3 linked regions of the Notamacropus eugenii genome follow. The protein of the gene in region 3 binds, or shares a complex with, the protein of the main gene of each other region. Links are inferred from orthologs where the notes say so. Each region holds a gene or a part of one and is shown on either strand. Other genes may lie near its edges.

Evidence for each region.
Region 1: the proteins of TNFSF13B (region 3) and TNFRSF13C are in contact, whole or in part, in a crystal structure (PDB 1OQE), measured with the Homo sapiens proteins. The link is inferred for Notamacropus eugenii from reciprocal best matches to the Homo sapiens genes TNFSF13B and TNFRSF13C. Residues at the interface, in NP_006564.1 of Homo sapiens: Ser162, Tyr163, Asp203, Thr205, Tyr206, Ala207, Met208, Gly209, His210, Leu211, Thr228, Arg231, Cys232, Ile233, Pro264, Arg265, Glu266, Asn267, Ala268; in NP_443177.1 of Homo sapiens: Asp26, Leu27, Leu28, Val29, Arg30, Val33, Leu37, Leu38, Arg39, Pro41, Arg42.
Region 2: the proteins of TNFSF13B (region 3) and TNFRSF17 are in contact, whole or in part, in a crystal structure (PDB 1OQD), measured with the Homo sapiens proteins. The link is inferred for Notamacropus eugenii from reciprocal best matches to the Homo sapiens genes TNFSF13B and TNFRSF17. Residues at the interface, in NP_006564.1 of Homo sapiens: Ser162, Tyr163, Lys204, Thr205, Tyr206, Ala207, Met208, Gly209, His210, Arg231, Cys232, Ile233, Glu238, Pro264, Arg265, Glu266, Asn267; in NP_001183.2 of Homo sapiens: Tyr13, Asp15, Ser16, Leu17, Leu18, His19, Ile22, Arg27, Ser29, Ser30, Asn31, Thr32, Pro33, Pro34, Leu35.

The regions. Positions count from the first base shown.
Region 1 is NC_092874.1:300,934,635-300,944,319, reverse strand, and holds the start of TNFRSF13C (tumor necrosis factor receptor superfamily member 13C), read left to right. Parts: upstream 1-5,550; 5' UTR 5,551-6,060; coding exon 6,061-6,178; intron 6,179-9,664; coding exon 9,665-9,685. UniProt on the Homo sapiens protein: B-cell receptor specific for TNFSF13B/TALL1/BAFF/BLyS. Promotes the survival of mature B-cells and the B-cell response.
Region 2 is NC_092872.1:95,273,387-95,283,216, forward strand, and holds TNFRSF17 (tumor necrosis factor receptor superfamily member 17), read right to left. Parts: upstream 3,986-9,830; 5' UTR 3,635-3,985; coding exon 3,517-3,634; intron 3,171-3,516; coding exon 3,024-3,170; intron 1,805-3,023; coding exon 1,521-1,804; 3' UTR 580-1,520; downstream 1-579. UniProt on the Homo sapiens protein: Receptor for TNFSF13B/BLyS/BAFF and TNFSF13/APRIL. Promotes B-cell survival and plays a role in the regulation of humoral immunity. Activates NF-kappa-B and JNK.
Region 3 is NC_092877.1:215,029,303-215,039,202, reverse strand, and holds the start of TNFSF13B (tumor necrosis factor ligand superfamily member 13B), read left to right. Parts: upstream 1-5,618; 5' UTR 5,619-5,717; coding exon 5,718-6,077; intron 6,078-6,190; coding exon 6,191-6,290; intron 6,291-9,900. UniProt on the Homo sapiens protein: Cytokine that binds to TNFRSF13B/TACI and TNFRSF17/BCMA. TNFSF13/APRIL binds to the same 2 receptors. Together, they form a 2 ligands -2 receptors pathway involved in the stimulation of B- and T-cell function and the regulation of humoral immunity.

The sequences.
Region 1 (9,685 bases), on a different chromosome or scaffold from region 3:
AACATGAAGTGTAATAAAGCTGCAACCAAAAGAAGGAAAAAGGCTGCTTTCTACCACTTTTAGGAGCCATGGTCTAAACCTCGTCACTCTCAGGACCCTCGGCCCCAAGAGAGGCCTGGCCACATCAAGAAGGTCCTGGAGGGAAAGCACATGGATGCTGGGGCTGCTGAGAACCAAGAATTCCCTCCCCAGTACCACTCCCCAAGACCCTGCCAAGAAAGGCTGAGCTCTCAGGGGCCTGTGTTTCCTGAAAGAAAACAGCTCTGTTTGCAGGCTCGTAGGCTGAGCCCAAATTCCCCTGAGGCCTCTGGCCTCCCTAGGGGCTGGCCTTGGAAGGGGGGGAAGGTGAACGAAAGGTGGAAGAGGGGCCCACTTCCTTGGTCTGTGCACATGTCCTTGGTTGTCCACCTACATGCCCCTCCCCATCCCACATGAGGTTACACATCTCATTATTTCCTAAAGAAACAGTGTCCTAGAATGCGAAGGCTGGGAGAGCCCTTAGAATTTCAGAGCTATGAAGGACTTTAGAATGGGGAACAGCACAGCTGGGCAGGAGCTTAGAACAGGGGATGGAGCAGGGGCTTAGAAAACCCTCATATTTTTGAAAGGTCCTGGGACTCAGGTTATACAACACACTGATGTCAGATGAGCATGACTAGTCTGTGTGTGCAAACACACACACACACATACACACACATATATACACATTACACACACGCACACACACATACACATACAGATACATGGCCACATGTATTTTTTTGTGAATACCAAAGAAAGGAGGTACCAGTGTGTGGTGCAGAGCTGGTGGCCGTCCCCTAGCTCAGCTCCTCAGGAGGTGTCTGACCTCAGGATCTCTGGCCCCAGACCCCCTCCCCACCCCCAGCTTGCAGGGCTGGCTCCTCATTCCCCCACTGTAGAAGCTAAAATGGATTCTATCCCAGTCCCACCTGAGTGAGGACAAGCCTCCAGGCTTGGGGCTCAGTTTCCTCTCTCACCCTACCCCCCATGGCCAGAACCAGGAGTTAGCCTGGGACGTCCTGGTTCCACTTCAGATTCTTCTAGGCTCGGCTGATAATGGCATGATCTGCCTCACTGGGCCCTAGCCCAGCCTTGTCCTCACTCCTTTCTCTGTCCAGAGCCTTCGTGGTCCCAGGTAGAGGCTTTCTGCCTGGAATGGGAAGGAGGAGACCAGGAATCTAACTCGACCCAGCTCTCACAATGACTTATTAAGTGACCTTGAACAGGTCCTCAGTTTCCCCACCTACTAAATGAAGAGGTCGCCTAGATGCTCTCAAAGGAATTAGTAGACTTGGGTTCTCTGACACTCACCACCCATGACCTTGGGCAGCTCTCTGGGCTTCAGTACCCTCAGAGTAAAATGAAAGAGTTGGAATCTATGACCTCCAATCTTCCTTACAGTTCTGGATTTAGGATCTCATGACCTCAGTCAGTGCTGAGTTTCTGAGTCTCTGTCTCCTCAACCTCATGTCCTCCCCTCCTTATTGTAGGATGGCAGGCACAGCTGGTAAGGGGGCCAGGACTTCCTGCAGGAGGCCAGCAGGGTCTGGGGACAACTTTGGAAATGGGCACCTTGCTTGAAAGCTGAATACATCGCTTCTCCTTCCCCTCTGCCAACCTCACTTGATCCCCCAGGGATAGGGGACTTGGCTCCGGAAGGGGAGGAGGGAATCAGAGATGGTCCTGACCTCAGAACCAAGTCTCTACCCCACTCTGTGTGTGTGTGTGTGTGTGTGTGTGTGGTGTGGTGTGTTGTGGTTTGGTATGGTGTGTGTATAAGAGTGTGTGTGTGTGATGTGTGGTGTGTATGTGTGGTATGTTGTGTGTGTTGTGGTGTATGTGTGGTGTGTGTTGCAGTGTATGTGTGTGTTGTGCGTGTGTTGTGTGTGGTATGTGTGTGTGTGATGTGGTGTGTGGTGTGTGTATGTATGTGTGGTATGTTGTGTGTGTTGCGGTGTGTGTGGTATATGTATGTGTGGTGGTGTGTGTGGTGTGTGTGTGTATGATATAGTGTGTTGTGTTGTCTGTGTTGTGTTGTATGTGTGTATGGTATGGTGTGTGTGTGTGTTGTGGTGTATGTGTGTGTTGTGTTGTGGTGTGATGTGTGTGGTGTGTTCTGTTGTGTGTTGTGTTGTGGTGTGTGTGAGATTGTGTGTGGTGTGTGATATGTGGTGTGTGTGTTGTGGTGTAGTGTGTGTTGTGGTGTGTGTGTTGTGTTGTGTGTGGTATATGTGTGTGTGGGGTGTGTGTATGTGTGTGGTGTGTTGCACATGTGGTGTGGTGTGTGTGGTGTATGTGTGGGGTGGGGTGTGTGTGGTATGTTGTGTGGTGTGTGTAGTGTTGTGTGTTGTATGTGTTGTGGTGTATGTGTTGTGTGTGTTGTGTTGTGTGTTGTGTTGTGTGTGTGGTGTATGTATTGTGGTGTGGTGTGTGTGTGGTGTAGCATGTTGTGTGTGTGTGGAATGTGTGGTGTGTGTGTAGCGATTGGGGGTGGTAGGTGGTGGGCAGTGGGGGTGGGGGGGCTGTGTATGATTGTGCTGTTTGCTGTCTCTGCCAGGCTCTTGTCTCAATAGGTCTCACTAACTGGCTGGCCAGACGGATGGACAGAGAAATGGATGGATGAATGGATAGATAGATGAATAGATAGCTAGAGAGAGATGGATAGATAGAAAACAGAAGGATGGATGGATAGATAGGTAGACTGCTAGATAGATGGCTTAGATGGATAGGTAGATGAATGAGAGCTGTAGATGTTCATCTTACTCTCCTCTGTGACTGTCTCTATGTCTCTACAGCTCTGCCCCCTGCCCGCCTGGCCACTCTCCTGTGTCTCAGTGCCTCTTCCTGGCCCCATGTTTAATTCTCAGTTTCTCTCTTGGACCATATCACTCACATTGTTTCTCACTAGTTCTCTTTGGAAATGGCGCCCATTTCAGTAGCAAGGTCTCTTCTGTCCTGGGCCACTGAGATTCTCCAAAAGTCAATATGATGTCTAGGCATGAACCCTGGACTGAAGGGAGCTCAGGAGGCCTGGGAGCTGGTTCTAGCTCTGCTCACCTTGCTGCGTGATGTTGGCCAAATTCCCTAACCTCTCTGGGCCCCATGGGCTTCACCTGCATGGTGAAGGAAGTGGACATCTGGCACAGTGGACAAGAAGCTGGTTCAAACCCTGGCTCTGCCACTTCTGACTTTGGGCAAATCCCTTCCCCTCCATGGGCTCAGTTTCCTCATCTGTAAACAAGGGGGTTGGACCAGATGACTCCTGAGATCCCTCCCTGCTCACCATCAAGGCTCCATCAAGGATCCTATTGTGTTGACAGCCACTCCCTTAGAAGATGAAGACTGGACTTTGTGCTTTTCTCTAAGCTTGAACTTCCGGCTGGGTGGGTTGGTGTTTAGGCAGCTGAATTCGGAGCCAGAAAGACCTGATTTAGAACTCTGTTTCAGACACTCACTGGCTATGTGACTCTGGCCAACTCATGTAACTGCTGCCTGCCTTGGTTTCCTCATCTGTAAAATGGGGACAACAGAAGAACTTTTCTACTTTGCAGGGCTGTGGTGAAAACCAAATGAGATAATGTATTAAAGTGCTCTGAAAACCATAAAGTTTTCTATAAATGCTAGCTCTATAGATGATCTTGTAGCAGTTACTGACCTCCCAGAGCCTCAGTTTCCCCCTGTCAAATGAGAAGGATTCTCTCACCCTCCTTACGGGGGCTGCCAGAGAGGAGTAGGGTATGAGCAGTCCATGCCCAGCTTCCATCACATCCTCCCTCCTAAATCACCTCCTCAGTCATTGCCAGCCCCCACACCCTCCCAGCTACGCCCACCCCCACCAACTCAAACCCACTTCTGGATTACCAGCCTACCCACTCAGCGACAGGACGCCTACGCACCTTCCTGTGTCAAGTCAATGGGCCATGGCCTGGCCTGGGTGGGGAGGCAAGATAGAGGCTCCCACGGGAGTCAGAGAAGGAAGGGGGAGGGGGCAGTGTGACGGACATGTCCTCCTGGAAGAGGCGCCCAGGCTTAGTAAAAAATAGCTGCAGCAGTGCGTATTCATTGTGCCTACTCTACAGCTGGGCTGGGGGGCAGGAGGTGACAACAGTCTGGTTCATGTAACCTGGGGAGGGCCCCAGCACAATGGAAGGTCCCTTGCACTGACTCCATGGGAGAACAGAATGGACAGTCAGGGCTGGGCTGCAGTCTACTTTGTTGAACAGCATACCCACATCCCCAAATGGGGATAATAGCAGCTCCTCCCTCTCAGGGTGGTTGTCAAACTCCAAAGACATAATTCTTGTAAATCACTTTGCAAACTTGAAAGCCCATAGAAATGCTCACTCCTCTTACCATTCAGGATCAGAGTCCCCGGAGAGCTCACTACAAGGTCAGAGGTAGAGATGTAGGCAAGCTTGGGAGACCTCCTCGTGGCTGTGCCTCTGGCTGGGGACAGAACCTGGGGGGACACCCACCCGCATTTAGGGAGTGGGGCCAGTCCCAGGATCTCCCTTCTGATCCTTTGACAAGGAGCCAGGGGGAAAGGCAGAGGAGAAATAGTTAGGGGGGTAGGAGGTGAACCAGGAGCAAGAGGCAGCTCTGAAGCAAAGGGAGAGAACTCAGACCCCAAATCGCTCCCTCCAGAGATCGGGCCTTGCTTGGGCTCTTATACACCCTTCCATTTAGGACATGATCAGCTGTTGAAAGCTGTAGAGGTCCAGGAGGTGAAGACCCGGAAAAGGATTCTTTGCTTGGACAGAGCTGATATGGAAGGAGGATGTAATCAGCTGACCAGGTTGAGAGAAGGCAGAGAGAAAGGAAAGAGATTGGGTAACACCATGTCTGTAGGGGGTGGGGGTGGGGGTGCAAACAGAGTCCCTGGTGTGGCTAGGAGTGAGGGAGTAGAGGTCAGCTATGCTATCTCGGGCTCTGACTGCCTTTGTCTGTTTCTTTCTGTATTCATCTCTCTCTCTCTCTCTCTCTCTCTCTCTCTCTCTCTTTCTCTCTCTCTTTTTCTTTCTCTCTCCGTCTGTCTGTCTGTCTGTCTGTCTCTCTCTCTCTCCTCTCTCTCTCTCTGTCTCTCTTTCTCACTCTCTCTGTCTCTCTTTCTCACTCTCTCTGTCTCTCTCACTCTCTCTGTCTCTCTCTCCCTCCTCTCTCTGTCTCTCTGTCTCTCTCTCTCTTTTTCTTTCTCTCTCCTTCTGTCTGTCTCTCTGTCTCTCTTTCTCTCTCTCTCTGTTTCTTGTCTCTATCTCTCCAACTGTTCCTTTCTTTCTCTTCTTCTGTCTCTATTTCTGCCTCTGTCTCTCTCTCTGTGTCTCTCTATCTCTCTCTGTCTGACCCTTTCTGCCTTTCCCCTGCCTTTGCCTTTATCTCTGCTCCAGACGATTCCTGTTTCTGGTCAAGCTATCTCTAGGACCACAGAACTTTCATTCCTCTTTTCCTTCCTGTTTCCAGATGGGTTTCTTTCTTAGCCTCTTTCTGTGTCTTTCTCTGCACTTCCCTTTCTGCCTTACTGGATCTTCCCTGCCTCTCTTGTTCTTGTTTGGGGTCCGACAATCATAGACTGTCAGAGAAGAGATTCTCTCCGTAAAAATCTCTTAGTGATCATCAGGTCCAACCGCTCACCGAGGGTGGAGAACACTTCTAAATGTGCTTGAACACCTGTAGGGATGAGGAGCTCACTTGCCATCAAAGCTTCTTCACTTGGAGGCCCTCCTAATTTCCTGTGCTGACCTCAGCAGGCTAGGCTCCATGGTGAGGGGCCCCTAGGGATGGAGGAGGAGGACACAGAGTGTGACACACAGTCAGAGACTTGAGGAAGGTGTGGGTACAGCCAGTCAGGGTCCCTGGGCCCCAGGTACGTTCTTGCTCGGTCGGGGATGGGGGAGGGTCATGGTGACTTCTGAAGCAAAGAGCCGGCCAGGGAGGGGAAAGCTGCCCCCAAACCCGCCCCCTCCTTCCTGGGTTCCCAGCCTGCCTGCCTTCAAAAGCCTCCTGGGCAACTGAGTAGCTGCAGCTGCAGGCTGACAGTCAAGGATGGTGGGGCAAGGGTTTGGAGGGGCCAGCGGGAAATGTCCTCCACTGTGTTTTGATGAACTCCTCAGGAAGTGCTTGCCATGCAATTTGTACCAGACCCTCACGGCTACTGGAGCTGGTAGGGACACCTCCCCCCTTCCCCTTCAGTTTCCTCTTCCTTGGCTCTACCCCCCTCCCTTCTTCTCCCCATCTCCTCCTTACTCTTGCCCTCTTTTCCTTTGGTGCCTTTGTCTTTTCTCCGTTTTCCTCCCCTTTCTCTCCCCCTTTCCCTCTTCTCTCTTCGTCTCTCCCCTTCTCTCTCCTTTCTATCCTCTCCCTTCTGTCCTCTTGCATTCCATGCTGAGTGTGACCAAAGGGGCTTGGAACTGAAGCCTGTTTTCCAGAATTCCGAGGCCTGTCCTGGAGAAGAAGGAATAGCTTTGTTCTACTTGGTGCCTCCGCTCCCCCAAGGCAGAACCAGGATCAGAGGAGAGCTTCCGGATCCTGATTTTTGCTTAGCATAAGGAAAAGTTCCTTAGAAAGAGTTCTGCCCCAGGGACTCCAGCCCAAGGTACCCCAACATAGATCCTGTCCTCTAGAGGTTTACAATTTGGGGGGAGGGGTAGAGGACAGAGTACAAATCTATACATAACCACAATTAATGAGAAAGGGAGATAAGTATGGAGGAGAGGTCTGATCAAAGTGCTCAGAGAAATCTGAGGAGAGAGAAGATGTTTTCACATGGGATGTGGACAAAGCAGGCCAAGGAAGATTTCATGGAAGTGGTATCGTCCAAGTTGGCCCTCAGTGGAAGAAGGGTTTCCTTCCTAGAGATGGGGAGTAGGAGCTCTAGGCATAGGGGACAGCATGAGCAAATGTGGATAGGAGGGAAAGGGCAGAATGAGAATGGAGACAGAAGTCTCCAGCTTGACTATCCTAGACCTGCAAAATGCTCTACCTCTGGAAGCCAAAGGAGCTCCAGGCCTGAAGTCATGAAGGTCTGAGTTAAAATCTAGCTTCAGATACTAACTAGCTATGTGACCCTGAGCAAGTCAGTTTCCTCCTCTGTAAAATGAGCTGAAGAAGGCAAAATGCTTGAATATTTCTGCCAAGAAAGCACCAAAAGAGGTCACAGAAAGTCAGACATGACTGAACAGCGGCCTCTGAGGACATGCTTTCAAATCTGGGAGTGGTCAGTGTGACTTTAGACAGGTCACCTCATTCTCTGGGCCTCAGTTTCTTGCTCTGCAAAACAAGTGGATTGAAGGAGATGGTCTCTGAGGTCCCTTTGTGACTAATCTTATAAGTGGAGAGTCCATGAAGGACGATGGGAGTCTGGGAAGGGCTGGAGTCTCTGAAAGAAAGAGGAGTTAGGAGATGGAGATCAGGACCTGTGCTCCCTCGCCCCCCAGAAGAGGGTCAGAGGTGGGTGGAGACAGGGCTGCAGTTTTGGGAAGAGAGTGTGAGGGGTGCAGGAGGTTGGGGAGTCTTCTGAATGCAGGTGATAACTGAAGCCGCAGCTGAGCCTCAAGGTTCGAACTGTTGATAAGAAATGTGAGGAAGAGCAGCCCACAAAGGAGACCAAGAAGTAGCAATCAGAGAGGGGAGGAGAACCAGGAGGGAGCTGTACTGTGACTGCTGAGAAGGGAGAGGTCATCTGCCATGAGGCCTGGTCAACACCTTCAGGTCGAAGAAGGGGGAGGGGAGGCAGTAACTGCAGGCCACAGGAATCCAAAAGAAGGCTTGGAGGGCCAAGCAAAGACCAAGGGCTCTGAAACAGGGCAGAGAGTGGGTGAGAGCAAAGACACCTTTGCAGAACGGCTGGCTGTTTCACTCTATGGCCCTCTCATACCCCCTCCACAGGTCCCCCCTCTTCTTTCCCACCTATGAAAACCCTACTGTTTCTATTTCCTGCCTCCACCTGTCTCTCTCATAATGTCTCTCACTTTGTCTCTTCAATTCCCTTCCTATCTCTCATTATCTCTCTCTTCTTCCTCTTCCTTTATCTGCCTCCCTCCATTGTCTTTCTGGGATGCGTGAATCACAGATCCTTGTTTAGTAGGGACTTTGTGGACGATTTAGTCCAATGTTCCACTCAGGACAGGAGTCCCCTTTAAAGTTTCCCTAAGGGACGCTCATCCAGCCTGTTCTCAGACCCTTGGGACAAAGCAGCCTATTGGGTTATGGGACAGTTGGAGTTGCTTAGATACATGAGCCAGTCAGGCCCCAGCATGACAATGGACAGAACCAGGGAGCAGGCAGGGGACCCCAAGGTGTGATGTTACAACAGGCTGGCTTGGGTAGAGCAAACAATAGAACAGAGAATCATTATCTGAGCTGTAGTGATCAAGGGAGGTGCTTTCTGGGAAAGCAGGTACTCAGGGATCCCAGGTCTATGTCTGGGGGAGGGGGGGCTCAGTCAGCTGGAGAGAAATTGCCTTTCTCTCTCCTTCCTTCACACCCCCTTTCTCCTTTCTCCCTCGCCCGTTTTTTTGTCTTCTACCTGTCTTGTGTCACTTTCTCCTTTCCCTTGTCTCTCCCCTCTTCTCCTCCCTCCATCTCTCTTCCTCCTCCCCCATCTCCTCTCCTCTCCCTTCCTTACCTTCTACTCTTCCTCATCCACTCCTAAAATCTGTCTTTCCCTTCTTCATTCTCTGTCTCTCTCCTGAGATGTCCTGGATGAGCTGGAGCAGATAAGACTTTATGTAACAGAAGGAAAAAAACCTCCCAAACCTTCAGCCCAGGCACCTGAGGAGTATCCCCTGTGTTACAGGCAGCGAACATGTACATGGGGGGAGGTGTATTCACCTAGGTAGGTGTGAACACACCTGAATGTGGGCTCCTGCATGAGAGGAAGCCCAGGGGGATGTTGCCTTTTCAGAAAACTTGGGGAAGTCTACAGAGGTGACTTTGCTGCCTTGTTCAGGGCCTCTGGCTCTGGGGGCTTCTGCATTCCAGGCTCCCTCCAGAATCCTCCCACTCAGGAGGAGAGAGAAAGAGGAGAACATGTGGGCTGGGGAAAGGCGTCAGCTCCTCCTCCATCCAGGACTTTCTGTCCCATCTTTCTCTGTCTCATTGTAGCCCTCTGGCTGTCTTTTTTGTCCTATCTCTCCTTTCCTCTCTATCTCGTAGGACCATAAAACCTTGCTTAGAGCTGCTCTCCCTCCCTCCCCCATCTCCTCTCTGTCTCTCTGTCTTCCTCGCTTTCTCTCTGTCTTTGTCTCTTTCTCCACATTATTTTTGTCTCTTTACATCTGTCTCCCTGTCTGTCTTTATGTTTATTTCTTTGTGTTCTCTCTGTCCCTCTGTTACTTTCTCTTGATCTCTCCTTTGTCGGTTACCATCTATCTCTATATTTCCCTTTCCACTTTTGTCTCTCTTTTTTTCTGACTCTGCCTTTCTGTCTCTCTCTTAGTCTCTCTCTTTCCCTTCCTTTCTGTCTATTTTTCTTTCCTTTGCCTTTTTCTGTATCTCTGTCTCTCCATCTATCTCCCTGCCTTTATCTCCTCTCTCTGCCTCTGTCTCAGTCTCTTTAGCTCTCAGCCTCTGTCTTCCTCTACCTCCCTCTGCCTAAGTTACTTTCTACCCTCTCAGGTTCTGGGTATCTGCCTCTTTATGTTCCCAGACAACATCTCCAGCTCCTCAG
Region 2 (9,830 bases), on a different chromosome or scaffold from region 3:
ACTTGAGGTAACCACTTTGACAGTGTGGCCAGTGTAAAAGGTTCACTACGAGCACTCAGTCACCCACCCCCATCTTCTAAAACTCTCTCTTATCTTCAACAAGGTCTGTAAAAGGCTACCAAGAAGTCCACAAGTTGGTCATTAGTAATATTTAAACTTCTACTTCTGTCAATTTACTTGTTCACTTTTTCAGAGCATATTATTGGTATCTAATAAAAAGCAATGCTGTCCTTTCCATTTGTTCCAATGCTATTGCTTTTACATAAGTAATTAATCAAGAGTGATTGAAGTTGTTGAATTTTTTGCACCATGGTGTATGAACTTGGAAAGTTTGAAAGCCATAGATCAAGAAGTCCCTAAAACTCATAAAAAACACTTGATCTCCATCAGCAAGCCAATCTTCATTCCAGCTAAAACCTCTTCCTTGTAGCCCCACCTCTACCTTCAAGTCAGTCCACCTCCCAGAAACTACAAAGATACTGTCAGGGAAAAGCCAGTAGAATATCAAACTTAGTTGTCATAACAAATTCAGCCAGGAATGAAAGGCACCTCTTACAATGTAAGAAGAAACCACAGATCTCAAAATGACTTAATATTTTAACAGGCACAAAAACAGAAAAGGGAATACATAATTCATATTTACATGACAGGTAAAATTCATCAACACTTGAATTGCAAGAACAAAAGATGTTACCACTGCATTCACTGGGAGAGGAAGAGTCAGGAAACTTTAATAGATAATTCCTTGACCAGCACACTTTCACAATTAATTTGAAAATATATTGAATTACCACAGTTTCTGCTTCATTACAGACAACAGGTGGGATAAATAAAACATTTGCTGCCATATGAGAAGGATTTCATCTTCCCATTGTATGATAAAGCTGCTCTCTTAAATGAAGGGATCTGTAAATGAATGAAAGAGGATCACTACATCCTAAACCTCAAAACAAAAATCTAAATTTTAACCTGGCTGCCATAATTCTTATAGTACCTTGAACCTCTCTATATGTGTTGCAATTTATCAATTTTCACTTGTTTCCATTTTGCCTTGTTAATGTGTGTATGAACTCTCCATCTGAAGGAAAAGTTCGTTAAAGTCTTCTAAAATAATTTCTGTCCTCTTTTAATGTTGAAATGATCTTAGGCATTTCCTATTTTTTCAGTCCCTCATTTCCTTTAGCAATGAATACAACTTTAAACCTGTCCTGAGATGGTCAGTTTATTTCTCTACTATATAAGTGAATATTGAGTAAATATGCAAATATAAAAATAAGAAACTTTGAAACTGACACATCACTCCTTTTTCTTAATGAATAGAGAATGCAATAATGAAGTGGAGAAGGTTTTTATAGTTGACTCTCAACCAAAACATAGAGAAATAAATCAAGAAAGATTCTAAAATGAAAAAGAGTTATCTTGATGACAGATGACAGCAACTATTATAAAGGGATGAGATGCATTGCTCTGTTCACTGACATAAACTTTACAAATGGCACTATCCCAGTCAAACTAGATCATTATGTGGTGAAAATAGATTTCCATATCCCCATGAAAGTGTCATTCATGGAAACTGGTGAACTCTTGCAAAAGTAATTTGTTTTTGTGGTGACAAGAACAGTTGCTCCTTCTTCCATGGCTGGGAGTGGGAAGGATATATCGGAGCCTAGATTACAGTCTTCACACTTGCATGCTTCTACTATGTATGTCATAGAAGTGCTGCTTCTAGGGAGAGTTCCAGCTTCATTATTTTCACTCCTATCAAGATCAACTTTTGCAGTCTCCTGTAGCTCAGCTTTTGGCTCTGAAAAGATATAAACAAGTACAGCATTATCCATCTGTTGCTCTAAAAGTTTTGCCTTAAATCTAAGTATAAAAGGTCTTAGGTTTTGACAATGAAGCTATGATATCACTGAGAGGCACATCTTTCCACAAAGTGGTCTTTGCACAGTAGGCCTTAAACTCTTAACAAGGACAGAATCCTCTGTAACCATATATTACACAATGTCATGAGTGCCCTATAAGTGACTTCAAAATTTGGAGCTAGAGACAAGCTGATATTCATTTGGTCTACATTTTTTAAGTTAATGAATTTTCTTTAAAGGAATCTGAATTGAGAATGTAATGTAAAAAAGTTTCCATTATATTGTATATATGCATACATTGTATACATGTGAAGAAAAGTCTTAATACTTTCCATGACATTCTCCTAAAGTAATTCTATTAAAATTTTTAAAAAACTAACAACCTCATAAAACACTATACCCTACCTGTCCGAAAGACCTCTGGGCAATGAAAGTAAAAGAAGTAAGTGGAACAGATGTCTCACTTCTCTAGTTCTATTATAAATAAAAAGATGGATGTTTTTCACAAATTAGAGCCTAAATAGAAAAGTTGGGAAACTGACTGATATGTTTAGGGATAAGGTCATGGACAGAGGTGGTATGGAAACCTAAGCCTTAATATTTCTTTCATAAAGAGTTCTTAAATGAGACAATGAATACTCTATTGCCAGCTCTTCACTAGAAGACCTTAGACCAAGGAGGCCTAATGCCTGAAAAACTTGACTTGAACATTCTTCCTCAGTGAAGGCTTAAGTACTTTATCGTAAGTGAATCATTCAAATTTGTATTAAAAATACATTCACAGATGCAGTCAGATTTTTCCTGATACTGAAGGATAGGGCTGACAGTTTCTCTTAGTTAGCATTAATCAGTTAATCAATCAACCTTTGCAAAGATATCAATGTTTTCTGAAAAATACTTCTGTTCTTTGATAGTCATACCTCATGGAAAGATTTGGGGGGAAGGCATGGGTGCTGTCAACATCATAATGAATACAGTAGAAATGAATGTTGATCTGCAGAATTTGAACTAATTCACTCATTCACCAATGCACTCAGAAGATTTATGACTTAGATACTAAAGTTATACACACACAATAAGAAAAAACTGAAAGTTACAGCTGCCATCTCATGAAGATTGATTTCAAAGATTTAAAATCAAATTCATAACATTTTGTACCTGTATTTTCCAATTCGTCCTTTGATCTCTCAGGGATCATTTTCTTCAGGATAAGTATTAACAAGAAAACTGTCAACGATGAAATTATTCCCACACCTGTGCAGATCCAGATACTCACATCTGTGATTTTCAAGGAAGTGGTAGTACCTTTATCGATAGACAATGGCAGATATAATGAAGACAAGACAAAACACAAACACCATTTTAATATAACATAATTTCTCAAATTTCTCTTCTTGATTAATATTGACTTTCTATTATCTAAATAACCCTCTGTTTGAATAATTGATAAACTACATTGCACTGATAAGATTGAATAAATGCATTCAGTTCTGTTTTGAATAATTTTTGTCAATTTAATCATTGCAATCTGTCATTATCATGCATTATTTAGAAAATGTCACTGTCTTCCTTATATATTTTACTTGGAACAAATACAGAACCTGCACAACAAGCTAATAAATAAATGCAAGAGAAATATTCCATTACTTACTTGCATTACAATAACTCTGACACACCAAAGGGGGTGTGTTGGAACATCGAAGGTGACAGGGTTTGCAAGTGTACAGCAAATTGTCAAAATATTCATTTTGAAAGCACTTTTGAGCCATCTGTATCAGTATCCCCCAAAACTAGAGAACCATAAAAAAAAATAAGAATGAACAGGAAAAGTCTTGTCAAGTTGCCCCTAACAAATGTAGTAACAACAGCAGCTAAGTATCAAATAGTGCATTGTGTTCTGAGGTTATTTTTTAACGAGGTTTTCCCTTTCAGACTAGGGGCTTGGTGGCTAAGGATTTGAATACCAACTAAATTCAAATTTCTAAGCAACCTAACTTGCGGTAGCTTAGAGGCAAGACTAAGGGAGTGTAAATATGAAAAGTAAATCATTCATGAAACAGAAACTATTTATTTATAGAAGCTATTTCCCAAGCAGGTGAATTAAGTAGAACTTGGAGGGTGCAGATAATCCTGAGGGTTGTTAGGGAGAGGAAGACGTTCAGTTTAAAGGTTTTGTTCACTCATTCATTCAACATGCATTTATTAATCACCTACTGTGTGTCAAAAGACTGTGAGAAAGTGTTATAAATGTATATAATATACTTGGCATTCGGGAAAATACAAATATATACATGACAGGGTTCTTGTCCTCAGAGAGCCTGCAATTTATCAATTGACACAAAGCACATGCACAGATACTCCAATGTATTGTAGTGTTAAGTACAATATGAGGTAAATGTGATATCCTGGTTGAGGTAAAGCAAGTGACAATGGAGTTGGGTGTTGATATTGGGTGTATTTTGAAAATAATAACTAACTTTTATGTTTTATTTGATCTCAGTACTCCTTTATACTCTTAAAAATTATTAAGGATCACTAAGAACTTTTGCTTATGTGAGTTATTTCTATGAACATTTACCTTATTAGAAATTAAAATTGATAATTTTACATTTTTATTCTTTCTTTTAAAATAACATTAACATAAGCTATTTTATGAAAATAACTACTTTATAAACAAAAGAAAATGAGAATTTTAAAAAACACTTATGTAACTATCTCTCATGTAGAAGACAGCTAGATTCTTATATTTGTTTTTTTATTCAAATAATCATGTTATATTTTTTTGATGGAAGTATATGAAAAAAATCCAGTCTCATACAGATATATAGTTGGGAAAGAGAGGAGTATTTTAGTAGGCAAATAATGTCTTAGTACAATTATGGGTCCACATACTATACTTTGAATACCACTGCTCTATATTTAATAGTTCTGTGACCAGAAACAAGCCACTTAAACAGTCTAATATTCTAATTCTCCATCCTTAAAACAAAGAATAGTAATATTTCTACTACCTACCACACAGGGTCTTTGTGAGAATAAAAGGAGATAATATTTGGAAATCACTTTGTAAGCATTAAAATGCCACATAAATGTAAGCTATTATTATTAAAGGCTTAAACTAGGATGGTTATTGTGGAAATAAGAGAGGCGTGAGGATGAAAATTATAGCCTCCATTTTTATAATGCTTAGCAGTTTACAAAGCACTAAGCCTCACCTAGCAGAAGGTAGTGCAAAGGTTATTACCCCCATTTTACAGATGAGGAAACAGAAGCCTAAATAGGCTAAGTGATGTATCCACCATCACACAGCTAAATTCAGTGTCAGAGTTGGAGCTAAATTCCAGACTTTTTTAATCTCCACCAGCCTTCAGAGACTGATTGAATATGAATGTTGAGAGTGAGGGAACACTGGAAGGTGATTCTGAATGCCTATGGTAGTAGGCTTATGGAGCAAAAAAGATCTCTCACCTTCACAGATATTCATTTGTGTGACAGAAAATAAACAGGATCACTAGCAGGTTATGAAAGTCACACTTGTGGGGAAGTATGTAAGAGAATGAATAACAGCTGTGACACTGCAGAAAAAGCATGTCCTGTTCAAGGGATGCCCCACTCCATGAAGGCAGACAAGCTAGACCATAAAAGCCAATATCACCAAACCATTTGCCACTAGTGAGTTGGTCTAGTACTGGAGTGAGTTTAAATCCCTCCCCTATGGTCTGTAAGATCCTCAGAAAAGAGAGAATATTGGTGTGATACACTACTGACTCCTGTGTATCTGTGGCTTAGAAATAAAAATGTGGAATTAAGCCTGAATTTGTTAGATTGTTTAAGCAGGAAACCAAGATAAACCTTGGCAATTCAATAGATATTTGACCTTGTATCTCAAAGTGAGTCTCTGAGATGCCTGTCTCTAAGATGTTTCTAAGAAATTACATCAACATAAAACATTTTAAATCAAAAAAAGTCACTGAATTTAGGGGCAGCTATATGAAAACATACCCAAACAAAGATAAAATAAAGCTTCAGTTGTTGTTTAGTTGTGTCTGACTCTTTGTGACCCCATTTGAGGTTTCTTTGGCAAAGATACTTGAGGGGTTTGCCATATCCTTCTCCAGCTCATTTTACAGATGAGGAAACTGAGGCAAAGAGTAATTTCCCAGGATCACATAGCTAGAAAGTGGCTGAAGCCAGATTTGATCTCAGGAAGATGAGTTTTCCTGATTTCAGGCCCAGCACTCTATCCACTATACCACCTAGCTGGTCTCAATGGAGCCTTACCCTCAAATTATATTTCTTTATCAATTTGATATTTTATGTAACAGAATGCATATGACATGCTAAGATACTTCAATATAGTATAATCCCTAAACATTTGCAAAAATAATTCATCATGTCTTGTTTTCCCCAAACTATAATATTTTCAGTGGAAAATGGCATTTTCAGAAATAGTTATGACCCTCAGTTATTATAAACATCTTTTTTGAATCTCACAAGGTTTTCATAAACTATTTCTATTAATGTGTCTTTAACACAGAGACCAAAAAAAAAATCCAAGTTCAACATTGTCTACTATAAAATAGCATGCCTTTTTTTGATGTTGACTTTGTTACATCTTATTGATATCCTCTGTTTTTATATCACAATTGTTGCTGAAAATGTCTGCCTCTTCTAAATTTAACTTTAACTTGTAAAAAATTAAATAAAGCTACTCAAATCTTATTTTGCTTGTATTTTATGTATTAAAGAATGTATCTTCAATTTGGAAAGATTTAAAGAAAAGTAATTAAGAAGAGGGGAATTGAAACTCCTTCAAAAGTAAGTTGTTTTTATGTACCTTCCTTAAGTTAAAGTCACCAGATTCAGATGAACTACATCTTGGAGTATGGGGGAAAAAATAGCAAATGAGATTGCCAAGCCATTGCTGACGATATGTGAATAATAATCATAAAGAACAAATGAGACTTCCAATGAGGAGGAAATTAAAACAATAATAAGAAACTGCTTTGCCCAACTATATGCCATAAATTTGACGATCTATATGAGATAGATGTTATTTTAAAAAACATAAATTGTCTAGATTTACAGAAGAGGAAGTTGAATACTTAAATAACTCGATCTCAGAAAAAGAAATTGAATAACCCATCAATACACTACCTAGGAAAAAATCTCCAGGGTCAGATGGATTTACAAGTAAATTCTGTCAAACATTTAAAGAACAGTTAATTCCAATACTGTATAGACTATTTGAGAAAATTGGGAAAGAAGGAGTCCTGCCAAATTCTTTTTATGATACAAATATGGTTCTGATACCTAAACCAGGAAGAGGGAAACGGAGAAAGAAAATTATAGACCAATTTCTCTAACGAATATAGATGCAAAAATTTTGAATAAGATACTAGCAAAAAGAATACAGTCACTTTCACAAGAATAATACATTATGATCAGGTAGGATTTATACCAGGAATGTAGGACCGCTTCAATATTAGAAAAACTATTAGCTTTATTGATCATATCAACAACAAAACTAACAGAAACCACATGATTCTTTCAGTAGATGCAGAAAAAGCTTTTGAAAAAATACAGCACCCATTCCTATTGAAAACACTGGAGAGCATAGGAATAAATGGAACTTTCAATAAAAAGATAAGCAGTACCTACCTAAAACCTTCAGCAAGCATTATATGCAATGGAGATAAGATAGATGCATTTCCAATAAGATCAGGAGTGAAACAAGGATGTCCATTATCACCACTATTATTCAATATAGTACTAGAAATGTTAACTGTAGCAATAAGAGAAGAAAAAGAAATTGAAGGAATTTGATTAGGCAAAGAAACTAAGTTATCACTCTTTGCAGATGATATGATAATATACTTAGAGAATCCCAGAGAATCAAGTAAAAAATTACTTGAAATAATAAACTTTGGTAAATTTGCAGGTTACAAAATAAACCCACAGACAGATACAGGGGGGCAGAGCCAAGATGGTGGAGTAGAAAGACACAGATACAGAGGCTCTCCCCACATAGCCCATAAAATACCTGGAGAGAGGCTCTCAACAAATTCTGGAGCAGCAGGAGTGGAGAACAAAAGAGTGGAGGAGATTTCCAGCCCAGGGTGACCTGAAAGGCCCACAGGAAACGTCTGTTGCACCAGACGTGGAGCACAGCTCCTCAAACAGCGCTTGGTGGCAGAATCTCCAGTTGCGGAATCCCCAGTCCCAGTAGCAGCGGGTTCTCAGATCCCTCAACCCACAGGTGCCAAAGGTCAGTGACAGGGTTTTTTCAGCTGTCCAGGAAGGGAGAAGGGCCTTCCATAGCTCTGGCCTCACGCAGTTGCTGCAGAGGCCACATCGGCAACAGACTCCATAGTTGGAGCATAAAAACCCTGCAGACACTGAGGAGCTGATTCTTGCTTCGGCCTTGTGTGGAGGCCCTGGGGGAGCTGGTCTTTGTCTCACACTGAATGGCAGCCCTGCCCATCCAGCTTATCTGAAAATCAGCCCCTAGTGCTGACTTGGCAGAACAGGAGGCCAGGTGGCTGTGGAGAGGTAACTGCTAAGATTCTGGGCACAAAAATCCCTCTCTACACCCAGACCAGTACACACTTGATTGTGCCACCTTGGAGGAACTGAGATCTTACAGATTCCCAGAGTATACCCTGCTCTTGACAAAGGACCCAAAAGTCAAGTAACTGGTTGGGAAAAATGCCCAAAAAAGAGAAAAAAAAATAAGACTATATAAGGTTACTTTCTGGGTGAACAGATATCTTCTCCCATCCTTTCTGATGAGGAAGAACAATGCTTACCATCAGGGAAAGACATAAAAGTATCCCAAACATCCAGAATAAATATTCAATGGGCTCAGGCCATGAAAGAGCTCAAAAAGGATTTTGAAAATCAAGTTAGAGAAGGGGAGGAAAAACTGGGAAGAGAAATGAGAGAGATGTAAGAAAAGCATGAAAAGTGGGTCAATACCTTGCTAAAGGAGACCCCAAAAAATGCTGAAGAAAAGTGGCTTCCCCTCCCTCCACCCCCTTTGAGAATCCAGATGTCAGTCTCTGGTAACTATGGTCAGACAGTTGGGCCTGTCTTTTGAATTATGGTCAGGCAGAGGAAGCCATGTCTGATGAGCTTTAATTTCTCTGTATTTTCTTTGAAATTCAGGGTGCTGACTCCTCTGACCTAGGTGAATGATACATGTCTTAATTAAAGTGATTTTTAGCCCCTCAGAAGCTGTCTTTCCTTTTATGAATGTAGATCTACAAACCTGTGGTAGCAGGTCCCCCTGTGTAGGCTGGGGTGCTCACTCTTATACTTTGCCTTAAATCTTATTGAAAAGGCATCTAGTTTATCCCCATTACAAATATTATGACTGTTAGTTTTACCGCTTTTCATATTAAGGAAAGGTCATGTTATTCCTATGCTTTCTAGTGTTCTGTTTTGTTTCTTAAACAGGAATGGATGTTGTATCTTATTTTTTAAAATTCTGTATATATTGCTAAAATCATAAAATTAACCCAGCCTGATACTTCAAGCATTTTACAATATGACTTCCACCTACTTTTTCTTTTGTTTCATATTATTCCCCTTCGTGCACTCTCTACCCAATCAAACTAGTTTACAAGATATTCCTTGTATGCAGTATTCCATCTACCATCTCCATTCCTTGGCACAAGGGGTCTACCATGTCTAGAATGTGATCCTTTCACACATCTACCCATAAAATCCAGCGCTTAGCCCAGTGCCTAGTACATAGTAGGTTCTTAATAAATGTTTATAGACTACTGAGAATCCCTACCTTCCTTCAAACACAGAACAGGTCTAACTTCCTAGATGAGGCTTTTCATGATCCACCTAATAATTAGCACTCTCTCCCTTTAGAGATTATCTTTTTTTAACACCAAGATAACTGAGTAAAGAGGAGCAGAACAGCCTAATTCCCATACACGTACAACATAAAAA
Region 3 (9,900 bases):
CATCCCCTTTCTCTCCTACTTTCCCATAGGGTTAAATAGAATTCTATACCCAACTGAGTGTGTATGTTATTTCTTCTTTGAACCAATTCTGAGAAGAGTAAGGTTCAAGCATTACCTGCTACACCCCCATCTTCTTCTCCACTATAAAAGCTTTCTTTTGTCCCTCTTTTATGTGATAAATTTATCTCATTGTACCTTTCCCTTTCTCCTCCCAGTGCATTCTTCTTTCTCAGCCCCCCTTTAAAAAAAAATCATCCCATCTTAATCAACTCGTACCCTTGCCCTCTCTATATGTATACTTCTTCTAACTATAATAACTAAGTTCTTAGGAGTTATAATATCATATTCCCGTAAAGGAATGTAAACAATTTAACCTTGTTGAATCCCTAATGATTTCTCTTTTAATGCTTCTCTTAACTCTTTTATTTGAAAGTCAGATTTTTCTATTTCGGTCTGGTTTTTTTCATCAGGAATGCTGGAAAGTTCTCTGTTTCATTAAATGTATGTTTTCTCACTAAAGGATTATGATCAGTTTTTTCTGGGTAGGTTATTATTGATTTTAATCCTAGTACTTTTGCCTTCTGGAATATCATATTCCAAGTCCTTCCCCCTTTAATGTAGAAGCTGCTAAATCTTGTGTTAGCTTGACTAAAGTTCCACTGAATTTTAAATTGTTTCTTTCTGGTTACTTTCAATATTTTCTCCTTGACCTGGGAGTTCTAAAATTTGGCTATAATATTCCTGGGAGTTTTCATTTTGGTATCTCTTTTAGGAGATCAATGAATTCTTTCAATTTCAGTTTACCCTCTGATTTTAAGCAATCAGGGTAATTTCTTGAAACATAATCTCTAGGTTCTTTTCTTTGATGATATCTTTTAGGTAGTCTAACAATTGTTAAATTATCTTTCCTCAGTCTATTTTCCATATCTGTTATTTTTCTGATGAAACATTTTACATTTTTCTCCTATTTTTCCCCTTTGGCTTTGTTATATTGTTTCTTAATGTCTCATAAAGTCATTTACTTACAGTTTCCCAATTCTAATTTTTAAGGAATTAATTTCTTCAATGAGCTTTTGTGCCTCCTTTTCTATTTGACCAATTCTACTTTTTAAGGAGTTCCTTTTCTTGGTGAATTTTTACACCAATTATTTTTCCATTTGGTCGATTTTGCTTTTTAAGGAGTTGTTCTCCTCAGTGGATTTTAATGCTTCTTTTACCATTTGGCCAATGCTATTTTTTGAGGTGTTTATTTTTTTCTCAGTATTTTTGTGTCTCTTTTACCAAGCTCTACTTTCTTTTTACAATTTTCTTGCACCACTCTCATTTCTTTTCTGAATGTTTCTTCTACCTCTCTTATTTCGAACTCTTCCAAGAATTCTTGTTGGATTTGTGTCCAATTTACACTTTTCTTTGAAGTTTTGTATGTAATTATTTTGACTTGGTTGATTTCTGAATTTGTTTCTTAATCTTCCATGTCACCATAGTAACTTTCTGTGGTCAGGTTATTTTTAAATTGTTTGCTCTTTTTCTACCCTATTTATTGACTCTTAACATTATGTTAAAGTTGGACTTTGCTCCTGGAGTGGAATGGCCATTGTCTTCAGGTTTTTCACACTGCTGTTTTCAGAGCTAGTTTTTATAGTCTATAAGTTTTCAGTTCTCCCAAAATGGTGTGATCTTCTGGTCTATACTCTGTCCTGTAAGAACTAAAAGTACCCTTCTCTTCTCCGGAATTGTTACCAGTATTCCTGTTCCTCTGTGACTGCAAGTGCTCTCCTACTTTATGGTTCTGGAAATGTAACTGGGAATCCTGCTCTCCTGTGGCCATGTTAGTACTTTTTTCAGCCTTGGAGCTAAGACCAGCATCCTTGCTCCCTTGTGAGTGACTACAATTATTCTTCTCTGCCCTGGAACTGTGATCAGGGTCTCTATTCTCCTGTAGCTGCATATGTGAGTATCCTTTTTTTGTTCTGGGACTGTGACTTGGAACTGTGCATGGGCACTACAACAGGATCCTGCACCAGTGCCAGCAAAGAGGCCCCTGTAATCTCCTAATCAGTTTTCTGACCACTTTACCGTCTAGGAGTTTCCAAAGCTGCCACTGCTGCTGCTGCTTCAGCTACTTTTGAGGCCTGCTGTTGCCTTGTCAAGAAATGGCCTGCACTGCACTGTGCTCAAGGCCTGACCACTATGCTGGTGGGACAGACCTTTCCACAACCTCCTAAGTTGATTTGAAGCATTATTTTAAAGTTATTCAGAGGGGAAGATGAGTGAGTTCTGGTGAGTTCCTACCTTTAGTCTGCCATCTTGGCTCTTGAATGTGAATCTTAAAAAGGTCACATGGAAGGAGAATTACACTTATTTCACTTGGCGCAGAAATTGGCACTAGGAGTAATTAGTAGAAGTTATAAAGATACAAATTTAGGGAGCTGTAATGAGAAAGCTCCTGACAATTATAGGTGTCTGAAAGTGGGATCAGCTGCCTTGGGAAATGCTGGATTCCCCCTTACTGGAAATCTTTAAGCAAAGAATTCAAGGTACTGAATACTTTGTCGGGTATGTTGTAAAGGATTTTTTTCACATATAAGTTGGCCTAAATGGCATTTGAGGTCACTTCATCTCAAAACCCTTTGACATCATGTTCCACTTCTTCTTCTCCCTGGTCTCTGACAAAAGGGTGTCCCTTCTTGTCAAGGTTTACCTCTTTACATGTATATTTGATTACATTCATTAATTGTCTTCTCCATCAGATTGCATTCTCAATATATTCATTCTTTCAGGTCTTCAGCCTATCCCTATCAACTGATTCCTTCCCTGAAACATTCCAACCTGCCCAAGTCTTTCCTCCCCATCCCCCACATATATATATGAACATCTTCTGTGTCCTTCAGAACACTCTAAACAAAGTCAAGTGCAAGTCGTGTCATCATTTCTCTGATGTCATGGTTTTCTTTGAAAACGAAGGACCAAAATAAGAACATATATATATGTGTGTATATATATATATATATATATATGTGTGTATATATATATATATATATATATATATATATATATAATATACATATACATATATATATATACATATATATATGTATATATATGATTTTCAATCTCATTACTCAACTCAAACTACTCTCTTTATTGCCAAATATGTTTGTCTTTTCTCAGCACCAGTTCTTCTTGTCTGCTCCGCTATATTTTATACTATCAATCATCCTCTTCTCCTGGCTACTCTTTGTTCTCTGAGTTTGCATGACACTATTCTGTTCTGGTCACCTCCTTTCTGTCTAACTACTCTTTCTCATTCTTTGATGTATCACCATCCATATCACACCTTCTAACTGAAGGTGGTCCCCAAAGCTTTGCCTTAGGATCTCTTCTCTCCTCTCCTCTCCTCTCCTCTCCTCTCCTCTCCTCTCCTCTCCTCTCCTCTCTTCTCGTCTCCTCTCCTCTCCTCTCCTCTCCTCTCCTCTCCTCTCCTCTCCTCTCTCTGTCTTTGTCTCTCTATTTCTGTCTCTGTCTGTCATTCTGTCTTGGTCTCTCTTTTCTCTGCTTCTCTCTGTGTCTTTCTGTGTCTGTCTGTCTATCTGTCTGTCTCTGTCTGTCTCTACCTCTCTCACTGTCTCTCTGTCTTTCACTCTTTCTGTCTTTCCCTCTCTCTCTGTTTCTCTGTCTCTATCTCTCTGTCTCTAATATGTCTAATATGTTTATGTCTGCATAAACTCCCCTGAATTTGACAATTATCTCTATGTAGATGACTCCTAGATCTACCTATCCATCCCTGGTCTTTCTCCTGAACTCCAGTCTTGCATCACCACTTGCTTATTAGACATTTCAAATGCAATATCCCATCGATATCTTAAACTCACTATTCCTAAAACTGAACTCATTTTCTTTCCCCTCAACCTTCTTCTCTTCCAAAATTTGTTATTTCTGTCAAAGACACAGACCATCCTTCAAGACTTCCCGGTCCATAACTTCAGCCTTGCCCTCGACTCTTCACTGTTCCATGCCTTATATATTCAAAAATTTGATGATTTTTGCCATTTATGCCTTCACAATATTTCTCACATTCAATCCCTTCTCTCTATTCACACAACTACTGTCTTAGATCAAGTCTTTTTCATCTAGATTATTGCTAATTGCAATTCGCAGTGTCTCACCAATGCAGTCAATCCTATACATTGATGCCAAAGTAATTTTCTTAAAACATGGATCTGATTCTGTGATTTTCTTGATCAACCAATCAACTCCAGGTTTCTTGTTGCTTCTAAGATAAAATATAAATCAAGTTAGTTTTTAAAGCACTATAGAACCTGGTCCCAATCTATCTTTCCAGATTCATAGGGTATTTCTCCTCCTACACTCTGATCCAGACAACAGACAAATTGGCATTCTCTATATTATTCATACAGGAAACTTCATTTCCTTTCTTGGGGTCTTTACATTAGTTATCCTGATGACCAACAAACAACTTCTTAATTTTCTTCATATTTGTGTCATATGCATTTTTATATATACTTGTCTCTTCCATTAGAATGTAGGCCCCTTGTGTATACCAACTATTTCATTCTTTGTGTCTGTATCTACAGCATGTAGCCCAGGCCTCAACATATAGCAGGTGCTTAATAAATATTTGTTGTTTGAAGATGTTTTTGTTATTGCTGCTGCTGGGTTTTTTTTGGCATTGATTCCTAGTCTGTGATTCTTTTATCCTGTGATTTGGAAAGTTTTCCTGGAGTTCAACTTGGAAAGATGGATAGGATTTGAATAGGCATCCAGGAGAAAAGGGAATCCCCAGAATGGAAAGGATGCAGAACAGCACAAGAGAAGGGGTAGAGGTGGCACTGAACATAGTGTATGTGGAAAGCAATGAAGAATCTGTTCCAAGTAGGTGATTGTGTCTTGTTCCTAAAGAGCTTCAGTATGTCTCCATTAGTAATTTATGCAGAAGCCTACAGGAAATGTTCATTATTGGATACTGGATATTGGATCCCTCCCTCTCCCTGCCCCCCCCCACAACTAACCCAAATCTATCTTTCAACATTTCTACTTATGCTGTTAGATGGAATCAAAACTGCTGATGATCATTTCTCACATGATGACCCTTCATCTGTTTTAGTGCTTCAGATTATTTTTGAATCATTCCCCCAAGAAAATGACCCTGTACTTTATTTAGCTGACCCCACCTAATCATTCATTAGTTTTATTGCCCTGCCTTGGACTCGTCCCAGTTTAGCCTCATCTATCTTAAAGTAGACAGAGCCCAACCAGAGATAGTCTAATAAAGGTTTCATATATGGCTACTTAAACACACTAATCTGTTATTTTGGAACCTAAAACATTTCCCCTGATAGACCTCTTAGTCAAAGGTCAAAGCTGTATCTAAGAAAGAAGGGCTATGGGAGCCCATTTGCTCCTGGAAGTTTGAGAGATGCCAATAAAAACATATAACAAAAACTGAAAGTGAAAAGAGGAAGGCTGATTGTGCAATAAAATAAAAGAGGGAACGCCAGTAAAAACCTATTCTATGGTAACTAGAGAGATGCATAGCAGAGGAAGGAAGAAAATTCAGGAGAGGCCTCCTGATGAGGCAAGACAGGCTCTAAGATCCCCTCGGTGCTGGACATCAGCAAACAAGGCTAACAGGAAATGATCCATTCCATGTGGTCACTTATTCTGCCTTCTCTAACTCTCAAAGTTCAAATAGAGAAATGGATGACGACAGAGAAAGAGGAGCAGTTAAGATTTACTTCTTCACTTCTGGCCTTAAGAAAAGAGAAGAAATGAAACTCCTGGATTGTACACCCACCCTTCCTCAGGGAAGAAGCTCTGCATGGCAAGCTAGAAGAGGGCTCCTGTCAGCCACTCTGCTACTGACGCTTCTCTCCGGTGGCCTGGCACTGGTCTCATTGTACCAAGTGTTCACCCTGCAGGCTGAGTTGGGGAGTCTCCGGCATGAACTTCAGGCTTATCAGAGCAGGGCTGAGCAACTTCAGGGCCTGCAGAAGGAGAAAGCAGGAACACACCCTACTATTCTCCAGTCAGAAGCTGCTACCATCACAGGACTACAAGTGAGTTACCAAGAAGCTGCCTAGCCCTGGTTACAGGGCTCTCATGCTTCCTATTTCTTTTACTTCTGCTTAGTTTTGTTTTTTTAAATAACCTGGGTCTTTTCCATTAACAGGAGCTTGGGGTACCCCCTATCACAGGAGAAAGCAGTCCCCAAATCAGCCTTAGACAAAGCAGAAGAAGCAGAAGAGGTGTTCCGGACTCAGGGGAAACTAGTAAGTTGAGGGGAAGCAGTGTTTCAGAAACTTCCCAACTGGGGCATATACCCATAGCACAAACTGGAGAAAATTAGGTGAATTCATTTTCCTTCCTGGATCTCTGATCATATTTTCTAGCTGCAAACAAAACCTGACCAGCTATGTTGCTAAAACAAGGGAGCCCTTTACGAGGATTGCTTCACTTGTTGCAGGTTGTAATGAAGAAGACATTTAAGAGTCAGTCTTCAAGGGCCCTGGAATCATCTGGGGGAATGGTGGAAGGGAAGGAAAAAACCTCTTTTACTATTTTACTATTAGCTCTTCTTGGTGATTGCAATAACCTAGTCAGTATTTTAATGTTTCTAAATAACAGATTTCATTGGTGGAATAATTCACCTGGGCTTGAGATAAAGGGAGCAGTTTATTTAATCTTCAAATAAAATAAAGGCCACTTTGTCAGAAGCATTGCTCATGACTCACCTAATAAAACCACACCCTTTCCTATCCCTTTTCCAATTCTGGAACCACAATCAAATTAGGGACTGTTTCTACTTTTGTATTTATATATATACTCAATGCTAGACACAGTGCTTGGCACATAGAAAACCCTTAATAAATGTTTTGTTTTTCATTCTTTCATTCAGATGCTTTCATCTCTCTATTATTAGAATGTGCCTATCTGAGACAGAGAGTTGGCTAAACATACTCATCTCTCCATGCGCCATTTTGTGATACTTTATATCCAAACAGGTGTACTGTTTTAATCTTAATGCTTCTCCTAAGACATTTTTAATGGTTTCTCCAATGAAAGCTGAATGTACTGCTAGTCTTTTTAAAGTAATTCTTCATGGAGTCCTTAATTTTTAAACATCTTCTTATCTTAGAGAGGCAAAGTGTCAAAATGGATAGAGATCTGGCCTCTGAATTTTCTCCTGTGTCTGACACGTACTGACTATGCAATTCTGTAAAAGTCACTTAACCTCTTAGTTTTTAAACAACTCTCTAAGGCTATTATTTAGAGTGAAGATACCTTCCTGCATTCATAGACAGAGTTCCCTCATCTGGGAGTTCCCTAATCCAATGTAATAAGACGTTCAGTCTCTATTTTTCTGTCAGTTAATCTTTTCTAACCATGAGGCATTTACTAGAATGGCTTACAGCCTCACAGGGTCTTAGAGATGACCTTAGAATCCTTTCCATTAAGTGAAATCCAGTATAATTTAACGTAAGAGAAAACAGGCCCAGAGAGATACAATGCCTTATCTGAGAGATTAATTATACCGTTTTGCATTTAGCCATCATTTGCCCATGATCAGAAAAATTCTTTACAATAATTCAGGAATTTATGTTTTAGAGTTGACAAAGTATGACTTCAAATGTAATGGTTGTGGTCACATTTTTTATTAAAACCCCAGTGATTCCCTTTTTAAAGATGTGCTCATAAAATGCAATCAAGCTTTCAAGTCCAAATTTAAAATATATCTTCTTTGTGGGGCATTTCCTGAACACCCTAGATCATTATAAATCTTCCCTTACCCTGAACTTTTACCATTTATCATTTTTACAAGTCATACTCATTTGGCACTTAATGACATTGTATTTTTCACTCTTGGTTACATTTGTATGTGTATTGCCTGTTTACCAATAGAATCCAATCAGAAGCTCCAGGAAGAAGGAAGGAGAAAGGGAGAAGGTTAAAACTTGGTTCTTCTACACTACCTACTAGAGTCACTTGTACATAGTACACAGTAAACGAATGTTTAGTGATTGATTCAATAGGAACTTTAAAGTGATAGTGATTTGAATGAGTTTGAGGTTACTTGACATTGTATTTCTTCTGAATTTCTTCTGATTTCTCAGTTTGAATTTAACCAGAAAACATTTTATGAAATATTAAAAGTTCATATTTATTACAGCTGATTGAAAAACATAAGAGGACTGCCACAAAGTTTTAGCTAGGAATGCCTTTTGGTTGTGGTGGTGAGCCTAGGATGATAGCTCCCTGAAACTTTGAGTACAATGGCCGCAGAAACACCTTCTTTAAGGCATTCCTTCAGTTATAATTCTGGTGAATTGGAGTTTTATCTCTTTTTCATTCTTCAATGGCAATATTTTTCTTAATCATTTTTTAACCTTTCAAATTAAAGACTTAGCTGGGTTCAAAGTATTTCACAAGATTGTTTCTGGATAAAATCAAACAGAAATGTGGGGAAATCCAGTATAAAAGAGGTGCCAAATAACCACAAAGTTGCTCAAATTAATTTCATGCTTAAACCCATGAACATATCTAGAGTTTGACTCTTAGTAGCTTACTAGTGCAAACTGCCTTCTGTAGTAGCAAAGGCAGGTAGGCAGCATCGTTTCTTTTTAGGTGAGGACTTGACTGCCCAACCCTCCAGTCCTACTTACCTGAGTCTTTGTCCTTAGATATCCAAGCAGTACACGATTTATTTTCTGTAGCTAGCTTCTCTTTCCATATTTATTTTTGGGTAAACTGTATAGTGAGAAGAGATCCTAAAGATCCCAAAGAAGTGTAATGGGAGAGTGCAACATAAAGTTTTAAGAGTAGCAACGGGTCCCATATTCCTGCCTACATGGAAAAAAATCATGAGCCTCTTTTCTATCAGTTCACACAAAAGCTATAGCGGAGAGCCAGCTGGCTATTGACACTATACCCTCTGGCCAAAATTTGTCCCTGAAGGGATTTTTGTCTTCATCAGAAGATCAGAAACTTGGTCTCCAGTGTTGCAAGAGACAAACATCTGCTCTGTTTTTCAGAGTGGAATATGCAATTGACAGCCATGACCTAGCAACCATATTTTTTCTGAACCCTGTTATTGTTAAGCTTGACATTTTAAGAATATAAAGAGCCAAGAGACAAGATGAACATTTTCTTTAAGTCAAGTCAGTCAAAAGAGAAGTTGTACATGTCTATGCCATTCATTTGGTTGGAAGTAACAGATTTAATGACTAATATTTCTTCACACGTTCAGGGACTTTTTGAACCCATTTTGAGGTCAAGATACCAGTAATGGGCTAATTTTTCAGAAGTCTCTACAGTGTGAAAGAGTATGTAATAATGGCAATATGATTTAAAATTTGGTTACTGTTGGTGATATTTGTCAGTTGCACATTTTCTAGATCAAATCCTATTTATAATAAACTACTAAATCTTCCTTTTCTCATTGTTGAAATGGAATTTGATGCTAGCAAGTACATTTCTGGATGCAAGTGCTAATTCAGAAGGATTAGAAAAGAAACAGAACTGACATCTGATCTTCCCTTCCCTCTAAAAAGTTCATTCAACAATTAATCAATAAAGAACATTTCAGTGAGTTTTCATATAGCACTTTCTACCTCCCACATATTTTTATTCAGTGTTATTTTGTGTATCATAATTTTCTTCTAATCAACTATATACCCCTGCTAGCTTTTATGTTCCATGAGAGCAGCTACTATGTTTTGTCTAAGTTTTCTACTTTACCCAATACTCCACATAATGATCTACATATAGTAAATACTTAATAAATGTTGAATTTAATCAATCAAACAAAAATACATGTTTAGTGCTTCGTGTATTCTGGGAACAATGGTAGATACTAGAGTGTATGTAAAAAAGTATAAGACT